Macaca fascicularis: one gene and its partner. The protein of the gene in region 1 binds, or shares a complex with, the protein of each later gene. Links are inferred from orthologs where the notes say so. Each region holds a gene or a part of one and is shown in the gene's direction. Other genes may lie near its edges.

What was found.
Region 2: the proteins of SIRT3 (region 1) and ACSS1 are in contact, whole or in part, in a crystal structure (PDB 3GLT), measured with the Homo sapiens proteins. The link is inferred for Macaca fascicularis from reciprocal best matches to the Homo sapiens genes SIRT3 and ACSS1. Residues at the interface, in NP_036371.1 of Homo sapiens: Gly145, Ala146, Gly147, Thr150, Pro151, Asp156, Phe157, Arg158, Ser159, Glu177, Phe180, Gln228, Asn229, Ile230, His248, Ile291, Val292, Phe293, Phe294, Gly295, Glu296, Pro297, Leu298, Gly319, Thr320, Ser321, Leu322, Glu323, Val324, Glu325; in NP_115890.2 of Homo sapiens: Ser640, Gly641, Lys642, Val643, Met644, Arg645.

What each region holds. Positions count from the first base shown.
Region 1 is NC_088388.1:116,704-124,357, reverse strand, and holds the start of SIRT3 (NAD-dependent protein deacetylase sirtuin-3, mitochondrial), read left to right. Parts: upstream 1-3,503; 5' UTR 3,504-3,539; coding exon of another isoform or gene 3,540-3,619; 5' UTR 3,620-3,742; coding exon 3,743-3,861; intron 3,862-4,173; exon of another isoform or gene 4,174-4,468; intron 4,469-6,946; coding exon 6,947-7,138; intron 7,139-7,249; coding exon 7,250-7,482; intron 7,483-7,654. Other genes in the region: PSMD13 (26S proteasome non-ATPase regulatory subunit 13), read right to left, coding at 1,368-1,446, 3,281-3,375.
Region 2 is NC_088384.1:62,359,196-62,367,139, forward strand, and holds the start of ACSS1 (acetyl-coenzyme A synthetase 2-like, mitochondrial), read left to right. Parts: upstream 1-3,351; 5' UTR 3,352-3,388; coding exon 3,389-3,719; intron 3,720-7,944. UniProt on the Homo sapiens protein: Catalyzes the synthesis of acetyl-CoA from short-chain fatty acids. Acetate is the preferred substrate. Can also utilize propionate with a much lower affinity. Provides acetyl-CoA that is utilized mainly for oxidation under ketogenic conditions.

The sequences.
Region 1 (7,654 bases):
TCAGGGAACAAGTATTAAGACAGGTCTCAGGCCAGGCACGGTGGCTCCTGCCTACAATCCCAGCAGTTTGGGAGGCCGAGGCAGGCAGATCACCTGAGGTCGGGAGTTTGAGACCAGCCTGGCCAACACTGGTGAAACCCCATCTCTACTAAGAAATACAAAAATTAGCCAGCTGTGGTGGTGGGCACCTGTAATCCCAGCTACTTGGGAGGCTGAGGCAGAAGAATCGCTTGAACTCGGGAGGTGGAAGTTGCAGTGAGCCAAGATCGCACCATTGCACTCCAGCCCGGGCAACAGGAGCGAAACTCCGTCTCAAAAAGAAAAAAAAAAAAAAAGGCAGGTCTCATTTATCATTTTCCCACATAATCCAGAAGACTGAATGTTCAGCAAAATCTCCAGGCTTACAGATGATTTTAAGTTCCTCTAAATAGTAAAATGTCAAATTGATGGCTATAAACCACAAGAAAATCTTACAAGCCCAGGTGGTGGGGTAGTAAGGTGGTAAGCTCTGTTGTGAGCATATAAAAGTAATGTATTCCGGAGAAATGACTCAAGCTGTAATTATAAGCTATCAGTTACAATGCTGGTGTGAATCTCTGTTTCATTCAGAATGAGAGTAAGATGTCAGGAAAAACTTCAAAGAGGAGGCTACCAGTGAGCAAATTTGTGGGGATGTGTCAGGGGATCTGGGGAAGGCTAGGAAAGAAACTGCGTTTTTTTAAACTGTTGAAAAAATTCTAGAAGTCCTCTATTACAGAGGCAGCATGACACTATTCAGAACTCTCCCTCCAACCCACCTACCCTCAACCGAAGTACAAAAGGTGCTTTATCTTCCACACTACCCAGGACAGAAGTGTCTGGGAAAGCAGTCAGTGTGGCTTAAAGAAGGGGAGTGATGGAAGTTATCTAAGATTCCCACAGATAGTAATCTTCCTCACACCTTACTCCACCCTCTAACTGGGTTTGAACTTTGTATCTAATAACAGTTTTCTAAAAATAGAGTACTAAAAAGAAGCCTATGAACTAAGATACTCAGGCATGTTTTAAGATAGTACTTTATGCCAGAATTTTAGAAAAAGCCAGAATGTTAGTGTTTGAATCCTCTTCTGCCACTTATTAGCAGTGACCTATAGTAAGTTACTTAAAGTCTTACGTTTGCTTCTACATCAAAAAAGTGAGATGAAAGTAGTATCTACTGAGCAGCGTCGTTAGGAAGGACGTGTAAAGCACTCAGACCAGTACCTGACATAAAGGGACTTCTGAAGAATTGTAGCTTATTATTATTATTATTAGCAAAAAGCCCATCTTATTTTAAAAAGTCCTTGAGCACATTCATATAATCTGACCTGGTATCGCAAATTATTTACCTTAATGAGACCATCTCCTTGGGCAAAGCACGGATCCTGCACAAAATCAAGCACCTGAAGTGTCAGCTGATGCCACAACCTGAAAAACATACAGCCCTTAAGACCTCTAACCTAATATCCAGTCACAGACACCTTCAGCCTTGATGATCCTATCAAGTCACAAATATAGGTTGGGTATCTCTAATCCAAAACTCCAAAATTCAAAATGCTCCAAAATCCAAAACTTTCTGAGCACCAACGTAAGGCTCAAAGGAAACGACCATTGGAGCATCTCAGATTTCAGATTTTTGATTCATGGATACTGAATGGGTAAGCACATATCGAAAATATTTCAAAATCCGAAAAAATACTAAATCCAAAAAACTTTTGCCCCAATGCATTTCTTTCTTCTTCTTTCTTTTTTTTTTTTTTTTTTTTTTTTTGAGACAGAGTCTCACTCTGTTGCCCAGGCTGTAGTGCGGTGGCACCATCTTGGCTCACTGCAACCTCTGCCTCCCAGGTTCAAGTGATTCTCCTGCCTCAGCCTCCCGAGTAGCTGAGATTACAGGCATGAGCCACCGTGCCCCGCCGCCCCAATGCATTTCTGGTAAGAGATGCTAAATCCATACTAACCAGTGTCTACTGTGTAGTAGAAAGAATGCTAAAGCAGATGCGATAAACCTGAGTTCTTTTCCTGGCTCTGCTGTTGAATGGCTATGTCACTTTAAGATCACTTAACTTCTCTCTAAGACTCAGTTTTCCCAGGTATGAAATGGAGAACATTATTCTAGATTACCTCAGAGGGTTACTGTGAGGTTTGATTGGAAACGAGAACTTTGGAATCATACATATCTACCTTGAGATTCTGGCTCTTCTACCTATTAGCTAGTATCTCAGGGAAGACAATTAAAACGAGCTTCAGTTTCCTCCTCTGTGAAAAGGATGAATAAAGGATTAAATAGCGCTTCATCCAAAACCTAAAGGCTAATATTTAATAACGCATATGAAATGCTTTGAAAATTACCAAGTGCTATCCAACACAAACCATTATTTGCCAAACATTAATTTGCTCTCAAAAACTGCTAATAGCAGAAGGCTGCTGAATGCTAAACATCATCAAAACATGTATGGAACATCTATGTGAAAGGTATTATATTAAATGCTAGGGTTAACAGGGAGGTTACTACAGGAGATGTATTTTCTATGGAATAGCTCCAGCCCAATGCCAGCAATTTATCCTATCATTTTAAAAGGAGATTAGTGCTTAGCAACAATTTAATGGCTCTGCAATTCATCCTGTTTCTAAACAAACTTAAACTTTAAGATCTTTCTAGGGGCACACAGCCCAGCGAGAAATACAATGGAAGGTAAAGACAATGGGACGGGGTGCAACCAGTTGCAGAATGAATAGGGAAGAGAGCAAAGCTGCACTAGCCTCTGGTTTATCAACTCCAGACCATGAGAAAGATAACTGTGGATACAGTTACACCATGCCAAGGCTAAGCGCGAATCACCAAGATCTGTTTCTCAAAGTGGGTGGCAATCTGGTTCTGAAAGTGTGTTTGCTTGTTTCGCTGGAATACAGAGCTAAAAGCAAAGGCTTCCCCTGAACCGTCTTAGTAAGACCCGAGGTAGACGAGTTCAGAAGCCTCAGTCACAGTCCCTCGTTAGGGAAGCACTGAATCTCAGACCCAAACATCCCTGGCTACAGCTCTTGGCCCTCGTGGTCTGTCATCCTTCTTATTCCTCGACCCTGCCACTCGGGGTTCCTCAGCAAACCCTGCCGGCACAGCCAGTCGCTACACGTCCCCGTTTCCCCGCAACTTGGGTCTGGGCGCCCTCAGCCCATCAAGGGCCCGCCTCTCCGCCCGCCCGCCCCCTCCGTCTCCCTCTATCGCCGGGGCCCAGGGCCCGTCTGTCTGCTCGGAGCTTACTTCTTCGTGTAGAGTTCCTCCAGACGGTGCCACACAGCGGGCTGTCCGGGCCCGGAGCTCTGGCTCTGCTGTAGGAAGCCCGGTACGTCCTTCATGACAGCAGGAAGACCCCCGGCACAGAAGAACAACCGGGATGTCAGCCCCGCGGGGATGTCTGCCGGAAATGCTCACTCACTTCCGGCGCCGCGCGGCGCGGGGCAGGCTGGGAGCGCCGTAGCCGGCCGGGGGGCGGGGCCCGCTGGTTGCCCGGTAACCGCGCATGTCTGCGCTCGGAACAAAACTCTCCGGCGTTTGCAGCCCGCTTCCCGCGCACCTGGTTGTGCCACTGAGGCTTAAAAAGTATGGGTGCCTGTGGTCGAACCGGCCATGGACTAGCTTTGTGGTGTCAGCCTTTGTGACCCGGAATTGCTGCTCTCAAATGACCTTCCCAGTAGGGTCTTGCGAGGACTAGGTGTAAATATAATGCCTGACCATAGTAAAAGCGCTCAGAAAGTATTAACTGTCACCGCCATCCGGGTTGAAAAAGGTGTGAGCGCAGGGTACAGAAATGCTGGCTCCAGGTTTGACCTCCTGGGCGAGAGGTCAGACACCAGACTAGGGAACTTCCTCTACTCGGCCTCAGCGTCTACCAGGTCGCGCCGGAGGCGTGGACACGGAGGCGGGGCCGGGAGGCGGAGGCGGGGCCGGGAGGCGGGGCCGGGAGGCGGGGCCGGGAGGCGGGGCCGGGAGGCGGAGGCGGGGCCGGGAGGCGGAGGCGGGGCCGGGAGGCGGAGGCGGGGCCGGGAGGCGGAGGCGGGGCCGGGAGGCGGAGGCGGGGCCGGGAGGCGGAGGCGGGGCCGGGAGGCGGAGGCGGGGCCGGGAGGCGGAGGCGGGGCGAGTCCGGAGGACTCCTCAGGCTGCGGGGAACACGGCGTTCTGGGGTTGGCGCGCCGTGGCAGCCGTCCGGGTGTGGGGCCGGGTAGCTGAACGGGCCGAGGCCGGGGGAGACGTGGGGCCGTTCCAGGCCTGGAGCTGTCGGCTGGTGCTTGGCGGCAGGGACGATGTCAGTGCGGGACCGAGAGGCAGCCGCGGGGTCCGCGGTGAGCCCTTGGACTCGGCGCGCCCCTTGCAGAGGCCTCCCAGACCCGCGGTGCCCAGGGCATTCCGGAGGCAGCCGAGGGCAGCAGCTCCCGGTTTCTTCTTTTCGAGGTATTTTGGGCAAGGACAAGCACTTCTTGCGTGTTCGTTGTCTACACCTCGCCCCCCTTTCTCACCTTGCGGTGTTTCCTTTGAGGCATGTCTGGGAGTTACTTCCGTTCCAACACCCGCCCGTCTTTACGCTGATCTGTGGACGTCCTTTACGGGGTTTTGTCGTTTAGTTCACCATTCCCCCATTGAAATATCTTCTAACCTTTAGTTACTTACATCATGCTGTGGTGAATAACCTTGTTTGCACCTCACTTTTTGCATAAATTCCTAGTACTGGGACTGCTAGGTCCAAAAGTATATGCATTTAACGCTTTAATTATCCCTCATAAATGTTGTGCGGTTAATGCTCCCACCCCATGTGATCATACCCGTCTCCATAGTAATTGCATCTAAGAGCTGAGCCTACATAGGAAAAAATCTTAAGGTCCATGGTTGTTAGGTATCAAATGCCCTATGATGGATGAATATTTAAGTAAATAATGGTACATTGACTTGATGCTGTCTGACACACTGCTGAAAATATTGGTGAAAAGTGAGGCTTGAAGTGGTAGCTCACCCTTGTAATACCAGCACTTTCGGAGGCTGAGACAGGGCGATAGCTTGAGGCCAGGAGTTCAAGACCAGCCTGGGCAACATAATGAGACCTCCATCTCTACAAAAAATTTAAAAATTAGCCGGGCATGGTGGCGCAAGCCTGTTGTCCCAGTTACTTCTGAGACTAAGGCAAGAGGATCCCTTGAGTCCAAGAGTTCAAGGCTGCAGTGAGCTATGATTGAGTCACTGCACTCCAGCCTGGGTGACAGAGCAAGACTCTTATCTACCTGGGAAAAAAAAGAAAAAAAAAGTTTAATAGATCCTGAAATGTCGGCTGGGCATGGTGGCTCATGCCTGTAATCCCAGCACTTTGGGAGGATGAGGCAAGTGGATAACGAGGTCAGGAGTTCGAGACTAGCCTGGCCAACATGGTGAAACCCCGTTTCTACTAAAATTACAAAAATTAGCTGGGGGTGGTGGTGGGCGCCTGTAATCCCAGCTACTCAGGAGGCGGAGGCAGGAGAATCACCTGAACCCGGAAGGTGGAGGTTGCAGTGAGCTGAGATTGCACCATTGCACTCCAGCCCAGGCGAAAGAGCAAAACTCCATCTCAAACAAAAGATCCTGAAGAGTCAGTCATTCATCCAAGAAGCCCTGACTGAGCTCTTGTTCTGTGCCAGACTCTGTTCTAGGTGCTATGGATGGAGCGGGGACCAGGACCGACAAACACATGGAGCGCATTCTAATATCAGTGATACTCTGCAAGACTGTTAAACAAATCCTTGCTACCACTGGCCCTAAAGCAGGAGGCACCGGGCTCCCTATGAGGAGTCCATTGCATGGGCTTTCTGCAGTTTGGCTTTGGATTTTGGAGCTCTCTGAATTTGTTCTTTGTGTCCTTTGCACAGTGTCCCTCCCAGGTTGCCCCCATGCCTGCCCCTCAGGGTCCCCCACTCCCAGTGAATTTCACACCATGCAGCATATACTTTAAGCCATACATCTGATGTTCCAGACATTTGGTAAAATGCCGTTTATATGTTATTCAGTGACTCACAAACATTTTATTTACGTAGATGAGGAATGTACTCAGGCACCCTTCGGGATACCTTGGCCTCAGCAGGCACTCAACAGCCATAATAACTTTCATTCCTTTATGCTTCTCTTAACAGTTCATGTTTAGTAGCAGCACAGTAGCTATTTGAGGAATGACTTTAAGTTAATAAATGTCTGAAATGGGGCGTTTAATAGGTGGTGAGATGGTTTTAGAGCCAGGGTTTTCCCTCTTTGCTTCTCGACTACTTGACGAGTTTTCATTAGAAAACCCCTTTGGGGCCGGGCGCGGTGGCTCACGCCTGTAATCCCAGCACTTTGGGAGGCCGAGACGGGCGGATAATGAGGTCAGGAGATCGAGACCATCCTGGCTAACACGGTGAAACCCCGTCTCTACTAAAAATACAAGAAAATTAGCCGGGCGAGGTGGCGGGCGCCTGTAGTCCCAGCTACTCGGGAGGCTGAGGCAGGAGAATGGCGTGAACCCGGGGGAGCGGAGCTTGCAGTGAGCCGAGATCGCGCCACTGCACTCCAGCCTGGGGCACAGAGCAAGACTCCGTGTCAAAAAAAAAAAAAAAAAAAAAAAAAGAAAACCCCTTTGGAGGTTTGCACTCAGAGAGTTGAGTGCCTACTGAGTGTACTGAATTATGAAATGAGCACAGTTCCCATTAACCTGAAATTTTTGCTCCCAAATAAGTCTTGATTCTGATTTATGACTGCTTTCCGTTGTAGCCCACTAGTCATCTGAGAAAGGTGATTATTTTGAGAGGCCTGGGAGGACATACATGGTCATTCTGGATGGTGGGGGTGGTGCAGAGGGCAGAACCATGCTTTCTTGCTATCCTGAGACTGGTCGCTATCTGTTTCCTTTGCTGCTGTGTTTTTTTCTGTCAGTATTAAAGGTGGAAGAAGGCCTATATCTTTTTCTGTGGGTGCTTCAAGTGTTGTTGGAAGTGGAGGCGACAGTGACAAGGGGAAGCTTTCCCTGCAGGATGTAGCTGAGCTGATTCGGGCCAGAGCCTGCCAGAGGGTGGTGGCCATGGTGGGAGCCGGCATCAGCACACCCAGTGGCATTCCAGACTTCAGGTACTGCCCGCAGTCCCACCTGCCTTCTGCACTCCCCTCCCCTGCCTCCTGCCCTCCCCACTGCCCGGTTTCTTGCAAAGGCCTCAGAGCCTCTGTCTTCTCTCCCTGCAGATCTCCAGGGAGTGGCCTGTACAGCAACCTCCAGCAGTACGATCTCCCGTACCCCGAGGCCATTTTCGAACTCCCATTCTTCTTTCACAACCCCAAGCCCTTTTTCACTTTGGCCAAGGAGCTGTACCCTGGAAACTATAAGCCCAACATCACTCACTACTTCCTCCGGCTGCTTCATGACAAGGGGCTGCTTCTGCGGCTCTACACGCAGAACATCGATGGGCTTGAGAGAGGTGAGCCCTCTGTGAGTCGCACACATTCTTTTTCTCACAGGGAAGGCTCAGGTGCCTGTTTCTGGGGACGGCCGAAGCCTGGTGTTTGTGCTTCTTCCTTGGGACTGTTTTTGAGCCAACTAGTTAGGGCTTTGTTCCCAAGGAAAATGTCTCTGGGTGTTTAAAGGCCACT
Region 2 (7,944 bases), on another chromosome or scaffold:
GGGTTAGGACTAGGGAATGAGGGCAGAGATACAACTTTATGTAGGTGACAGGGAAGGAAGGGCTCTTGGATGGAATGGATGTTTGAAGACACCTGAAGGAGGTGAGGGGGAGTCTCTGTGGACATCTGGGTGGAGCATTCCAGGCAGAAGGGACAGCGTGTGGCGGTCATGAGGTGGAAGCCTGCCTGGTGATGGGAAGGACAGGAGGAGGCCAATGTGCTGGAGCCCCAATGAGTGAGGGAGAGCAGAGGAAGAGGGGACGCTGGCTCAGGGAGGGCAGCGCTTCTCTAACTTGAATGCACATGCAGCTCCCCTGGGGGCTTAAGATGCAGATTCTGAAGCAGCAGGTCTGAGATGGAGCCTGGCATTCTGCATTTCTGCAGTGTCCAAGTGATGCTGCTGGCCCATGGACCACACATTGAGTAGTAAGGCTATAGCCTGTGGGCCAGGGAATGATGTGGCCTTTGTTTTAAGGAGACTGGGGAGCCCTTGGATTGCTCTAAGCTCCAGAGCAAGTTCCTCTGACTTTTGTTGAAAAGGAATTGCACTGCTGCTGGTTAGGCTGTCAGGGACAAGGGTGAAAGCAATTTGAAGCCTACTGAATAATCCTAAGAAGAGATGGGTGTGGTTGGGATGGTGGCAGGAGAGGATGGTGATGGGGGAAGAGGTTAGTGCTGCAGGTGTTCTGAAGGTGAGCCACAGGATTTGCTGACAGGCTGCACGTGGAGTGTGAGGGGGAGGAATCTAGGATGAAAAGGGTATGAGCCCAAACAGCAGGAAAATGCCATTTCCATTCACTGACACAGAAGATCCATGTTGGGGGGAAGAATCCCAGGACTTGGTATGTTTCAGATGTGAATGAGACATTTGAATACAGGACTGAGATGTGGAGGAAAGGTCCAGGCGGGAGGTGTCAATATGAAAGTCAGAGATTAGAGAGCTGGTTGCTGTTTCCTAGGGGGCAGGGGAGAAAGGGGGATTTGAGGGCTGAGCGCCTGGGCACTTCAACACTTGGAGGGCAGAGAGAGGAAAGGCACCCAGTACAGGGCACTGAGAGGCAGAAGTCAGTGAGTGAAAGAACCATGCATTTTTCAGCTTCAATTGTTGTATCAGTTACCTACTACTGAGTTACAAACCACCCCAAAGTTTAGTGGCTTAAAACAACAATGTATTCCTTCTACAATTCTGTAAGTGGACTGGGAGGTTCCTTTGCATCCCGGGCGTTATCTGGGGTGACTCATGAGGCTGCCTTGGCTGGGGCGGGAGCCTCCACACTGGCCTCGTTCCTGTCTGGGATTTGGTCCTGGCTGTGCATGGGGCAGCTTTATTCTCTCCCTTGGCCCCTTCCTCTGGAAGGCCAGCCCTGCTTCCTCACAGCTCGCAGCTGGGTTCCATGGGAGGACAAGCTGGGGCTGCAGGGTCTCTCAGGGCCTCCAGGTGGAACTGTCAGAGCATCCCTCCCACCAGGTTGTACTGGCCAAAGCAATACAGCCAGCCAGGGTCCTCCTCTGGACAGAGCAGCGCGCCATCACATGCAGGTATGGGAAGGAAGAGTTGGTAGCCATCTATGTGACCACCTGCTACAGTTAAGAGCTTTCTCAATTTACAATTTTACTACTCACTGACCTCTGCCTCTCAGTGCCCTATACTGGGTGTCTTTAATATTCTATTCAAATGGGAACTTAGGCCAAAGAGCTCCCCACTGGGGGCACTGGGTATTAGTCTTGCTCTTCCCTTAGCCAGTCGAATGCTCTTTAGTAAGCCCTTTTATTTGTTTGGGTTCAGTTTCCTCATTTGTTCCACCTGGAGTTTGACAGTCGGTGGGGGGTGGACAGCACTAGATAAGTTTTAAATTAAGTAGACTAGCCGGGTGTCGTGGCACACGCTTGTAGTTCCATATACTCAGGAGGCTGAGTCAGGAGGATCGCTTGAGCTCAGGAGTTCCAGGCTGTAGTGAGCTATGATGGGAACCACTGCACTCCAGCCTGGGCTACAGACCCTATCTCTAAAAAAGTATCATAAATAAATAAACAAAGGAGAAAATGCAGGTCAAGTGCGAGCACTGTGCAGGGCATGTGTTATGCTAGTAGATGTCACTGATTCTCCAGCCCTTAGGTACATTCCTGTCTTCTCTGGCAGACAGCAGCATTCCCCAGCAGGGGCTGGTGGCTGGCCCACGCAGAGGCTCCTCTAATGGCAGGCTCCTCCCCTCTGCAAGCCCTACAGCTCAAGGGAAAGAAACTTTAACATCAGAAAGAACTCAAGAAACCAGTTTTCCAAAACCTCTCTTCCCCTATGTTTACCCCTTTGTTATGAATTTACTTCTTGGGTGTCGAAATATTTAAGAACTCGGTGGAGACCAGTTTTATACGTTTCCTTCTGTCCTTCCTGGCTCCACAGCTGCAAAAACATCACCCCCACTACTGAGCTTACTATGGGGCCACGCAAGGGTAGATGCTTGACAGACATTGTCTGATGTATTCCTTACTGCAGCTCCCCACCCCCGCCGTCCCCGTCCCCCAGGGAGGCATTACTTCCGTTTTCCCCAAAAGGAAAACAAGGCACCGACAAGTTACGGAACTTGCTCAAGGTCACAGAATTTGAACTCAGGCCACAGATGCTGGAGCAACTGGATAAAGTCCTCATCGCCCCATATCACCCACCACCGACCCCCAGCAGAACGTGACCCCCGCCAGGACGGAGGCCGGCAGCTGGGGGGCTGGAGCATGGGACCCCAGACCACGGACTCAGGCCTGCGCAGCCTCCCGGCGTCTGGGCTCCCCGCCAACCTCCTTCGCATTCCGCTGAGAAGCCAGGGGAGGGGTTCACTCTCCGGGGCGCACAAAGGCATGAAAACCTTACTTCAGCCTCTGAGATGCGGAACTGACCGACCTATCGTCTTGGGACCCAACAGTGCGCTTGGGTGCACCAGCCCTCTTAACGTTGGTGCCGGCTCCCTCCCGCCTCCTTCCCATCCCAGAGGGCCCCCTAGTCCTGGGCCGCACGTGCCTCTGGCAGCTCGAAGAAGCTGTCGGGGCTTGCAGGAGAGCGCGCAAACTGAAACCAAAACAGGCCGACGCGAGGAACGTCCGGGGGGGACTGCAGACCCGCGGGAGCACAGCGCCTGGGCCAGGGCCTGGGAGCCTGGGCTCCGCCCCGCGCTCCTCTGCACCCCTTCTCCACGCTGCTCCACTCTTCCTAAGCGTCCCCCCCTCTCCCGGGCAGCAGAAGAAGGGGTGGGACCCGGGCGGGCTCTGGGAAGGGGCCCTGGAGGAATGGATGGTGGCCGAAGGGCGGAGCAGGGGCGGGGCCCGCGGAGACTCCAAGGGGCGCCCCGGGCGTGAGGCACCCACTCTGGAAGCACAGAGAACTCAGGTAGTCCGGCTAGATGGCGGCGCGCAGCCTGGGCCGCGGCGTCGGGAGGCTGCTGGGCAGCCTGCGAGGGCTCTCGGGGCAGCCCGCGCGGCCGCTGTGTCGGGTGAGCGCGCCGCGCAGGGCGGCCTCGGGACCCTCGGGCAGCGCCCCCGCAGTTGCCGCAGCCTCACAGCCCGGCTCGTACCCCGCGCTGAGTGCACAGGCAGCCCGGGAGCCGGCCGCCTTCTGGGGGCCTCTGGCGCGGGACACTCTACTGTGGGACACCCCCTACCACACCGTCTGGGACTGCGACTTCAGCACTGGCAAGATCGGCTGGTTCCTGGGAGGCCAGTTAAACGTCTCTGGTGAGTGGGCTTCGGGAGACCCAGGTCGCCCCCAACTCTTGCGTCCAGAGGGAACTCGGAGCCTCTCGCCTGCGGCAGCCGTCCCCCGGCTGCGCGGATCGCACCCCTGCAGGGGCCCCTCCTCCGGTATTCCGTCCGCCCCGCCAGCTCTAAGCAGTGGCTCCACGTCACCCCGTCCCTCATCCCATCCGGCCCCAGATCCACGTGCCCAGCTCGGGCCGGTGCCCGCGGGGACCCGGTGGCCGCTTGGGACGCCCCGCTGCTGGTCTTGCTCGGCGCGGCTCCTCGCTCTGCTGACTCCGGAGTTGCGTTACCGAGTGCATAGCGCCGCGGAGCCAGAGCCGGCGGGGAGCCGCGGGCTACACCCGAGCGCCCTGGAGTCGGGACTTTCCCGTTGCTATACCGGGGTGGACGGAAAAACAAAGCGGTGGCGGTTGTCACTGGGGGCTGCGGTGCCCGGGGATCAGCCTGAGGACAAGCCCTGCCCACATAAACAAACAGAGCTGTGGCGGGCGACCTGGGGAGGAGGAAACCCGGCGTGGCAGCTGGAACCAGTTATTTCCTCGCTGCGGGCCTGGGGCCTGTGGGCGGGAAGGAAGTAACAGCGGCCTCCGGGTTCTCGTTCTCGGCCTCAGAGAACTGCACCCCAGCGACCCAAGGCCTGCTTTGGACCCGCGGGGTCTGAGGTTCCCGGTGGTCAGTGGTCTGAAACTTACTGAGCAGAGGCCTCTGCTGCTCTGCTAAGATTTGGGGCTGGGGGTCGTACACTGCACCCTCGCCCCCACCTAAGGCGCTGACTGGGCAGCGAGGGGGAAGCCCTGAACTGCAGGCAGGGCTGGCCACGCAGGGTGGGTGCCAAGTGCAGGGTGGGCCCTGGATGCAGGGTGGGCCTGGGTGTGGGGCCTGCAGGGAGGGCCTGGCAGACACGGTGTTGATCAGAGGGATGCAGGCCAGAAGAGTGGCCATAACCAGCTTGCTGGATTTGGGAGTGTTTGAGAAAGGACTTGAGGGTCTTTATGGCAGGGTCACCAGGACCCCATTTTCTCCAGCTCCTCCCTCAGTTATCCCTGTTGTTCTGCCCCGCTAGCCCTCAGTGTCCACATTGTGAGGAGGGGGGCAGTCATGCTCAGAGGTTAGGCTGAGTGCTGCAAGGTATGCAGCAGACCCAGCTCTTACTGGTGACCCACAGGCAGTAGCGATTTTAGTTTAACTTCAGATATAGCCATACAGTTGTAGGTAGTGTCTTGTAGTTAGTTTTCAAAGAAATTGAAAGGAACTTTGGACCTCCCCCCGATATTGTATATTACTTTGCTGGTTTAATTAAAATGAGTCACTTACTAGATAAGTGTTTTCTTTAACCTTGAGTCAGCAGCAAGTGCCCTCTAACTACTGGGAAAAAAACCAAACCCTTTGGTTTGCAGAGTTGGTGCGATGTGCCCTTGAAGGGGACTAGAGCAGCTTGCCCAAGGACAGAAATGGAAAGTGACCTGCTCTGGACTTGTGAGGCCAAGGTCATGGGGAACATTCACAGTTGGCCTGTGCACAGTTGCAGCCCCACTCAGATAAGACAGCGGGGCGGACCTCCTGGGGCCAACAGCAAGGACCTTCTGAACCTCGCTGGGTCAGGATCAGGGTGTGGTCAGCAAGCATTCTTCTGTCTCCTTTTCCTTCACTTATTTCTCCTGATAATATGGCCTTTACGGCTACCTTAGCCAGAAATTGAGCTTCAGAAAACTAACTTGAAAAACAGCTTTTCAGCAACTTTCTCCCCGGGATGTGCGTGCCCACCTGTTCATGGGTCAGCAATATCTCTTTCCTTTGTCGGTGTCTGCAAACCATAGTGGGGACAGTATGAAAAAGGGCCAGGCCAGGCCATGACTCCTCTGGGAGCCCCTAGAAAGTCATGGGATAGGTGAGAACACTTTGGCCTGATCTGTCAGCTGTGTGTGATAAAGTCAGATGGCTTGTTCCAAAGGAATATCACTCTTGAAGAAAACTTCACCTCACTCCTTCAAGAATACCAGTGGTTCTCAACGCATGGTCCTCAGACCAGCAGCATCAGCATTACCTGAGAACTTTTGAGAAACAGAAATTCTGGAGCCCATCCTGGATATCTGGAATCAGAAACCCTGGGTGGGACCTGACACCTGTGTTTATAACGAGCCCTTCAGGTGCTCTAGAGGACACTCGGGCTTGAGAACCACTGGTCTGTACGCCTCAAAACGGGGCAGATGAAGGCACTTCTGAAACAGAATTGGGATTAGTGCCCGGCCATGGCCCTGTTAAACAAAGAGCAAACAAACAATGGGCTGTGGATGGTGCAACACCGTTTTGTGGCTCCAGGTGTCTTTAGAATCAGGACTCGGGTTGATTTCTTGCTTTCCCTGTACTGCACTTTGCATGTTTCCTCATCTGTAAAACAAGGGCAGTATGTAACTGAATTATGTCCTAGTTACTATCGATGCACATCAAACCACCCCTAAGCTTAGTGGTACAAGATAACAACAATTTTATATTCCTCGCAGTCTGTGGGTCAGAACTTTGGACAGGGCCAGATGGGGATGACTTGTGTCAAAGGGCAAAATTCCGACAAATTTAGTTTAAAGATCTTAATTCACTTTTTTCGTGATTATAGAATTGGGAAACACCTAATTCCATAAAACAGAATGAATGTTTGATGAGTTGAGCAGAGGAGGATGGTTTTATAGACAGAAGGGTCTGAAGTATGCGGACACGGAGAACAAAAAGTGGACTGGCTATTTCAAAGCTACTTTTGCTGTAAAGGTGAAAGTGGAAGGAGCTCCCTTACTATGCCAGCTTGTTTGGAGATCGAGCTATCTCTCACTCTCCTTGTTTCTTAGAAGGCTAGATAAACCACTTAGTTTCCATTTGGTGACACGGCACTTTAGCAAGAGTGACTCCATTTTTGTGTGATCTATTGGGCCTGATGCGGCTCAGTCCAGACCAGTGGCCTCCTATACATTTTATTTAACACTTGCTTCTGCTCCTCAATGTCTGAGGTTGTAGTCATCTGCCTGTTTCTCACTCCCAAGTCTGGGGCCTGGTTTGGGACAACTTGCAGGCTGACTTCAGCCAGACCTGTGACCCAAAGCACCTCCTGGGGCTTGTCACAGCGTGGTGGCTGGGCCCAGGCAATGTCCGGCAACCAGAGGTCCAAGAGACCAGCACAGACACTATTAGGCATCTTCTGACCTGGGGAAGGGGACCTGACTGTTTGCACCTGTTTTGTTATCCATCGGAGTATCTATCAGCACACATACCCCAGGGCTGTTAGAATGAAATAAGAAAACGCTTGTAAGGCACTCAGCACTTTCTTAACACATTATACATCCCCAATCACTGGCCATTTGTTATTTATTAATGAAGCATGTGGGGAGGCTGTGACCTTGTGCTTGGCCTTCAGCAGTGCTGCTGAGAGAGCTGAGCTTCATTTGAACTGGACCACTTGAGCTTGCATCTGATTAGCCTGGGATAGGTGGGGAGTAGGCTTCGGAGAGCATGCAGGTGGCTGAGGTGGCTTTCAAAACACCACAGTATCCTGCTCATCCCGCAACTCCAATAGCCAGACGAGGTTATGGTGTCTGAGGCCCACTGGGCAGGGTAGACAGAGTGTCTGTGCCCTTCTGTGACTTGCTTCTGTTGTGTAAAACTGCCTTGCAGAAGGTTCTTTGGAGAGCCAGGTTCTAAAAGGGATTCTTTCCCACCTGTGAAATTTGGCTCTGTCCTTTGCAGGGCTCTGCAGCTGTTTTTGCCCCGTGGCATATCAACTCAAGATATCAGGAAGTTGTAAATGCAGAACCAGAGGGTAATGACATGTGTTACTTTCAAAACACACAGCTAAGCTCTATTTTTTAAACCCCCTGTTTTAAGTGATGTTTTTCAGTGTGTATACTCTTAAGCAAGAGTGTAAAAATCCTCTTCGTAACCAAGCATTGAGCACTGGGAAATTTCTTGGATGCTTTTTGGAGATTAATTGCAGGAATAGAGGCCCTTTTGCTGTAGTTCCTCTCTGTTGGCTGTAGTTTCCTGTCTGTGGCATGCCTCCAGTAGTTCAGAAGGCAGGACACTGACGGCGGCAAGACGCTGTGTGCCTGTGCTTCATTTTCCTCCTAGTCACTCCAGTGATTCAAGTAACTTTTTAAAGGTTTTTCAGGTAACTCTACATGAAAAAGGAACCCTAATCTTAGGAGGAGGGTCCTCCCGA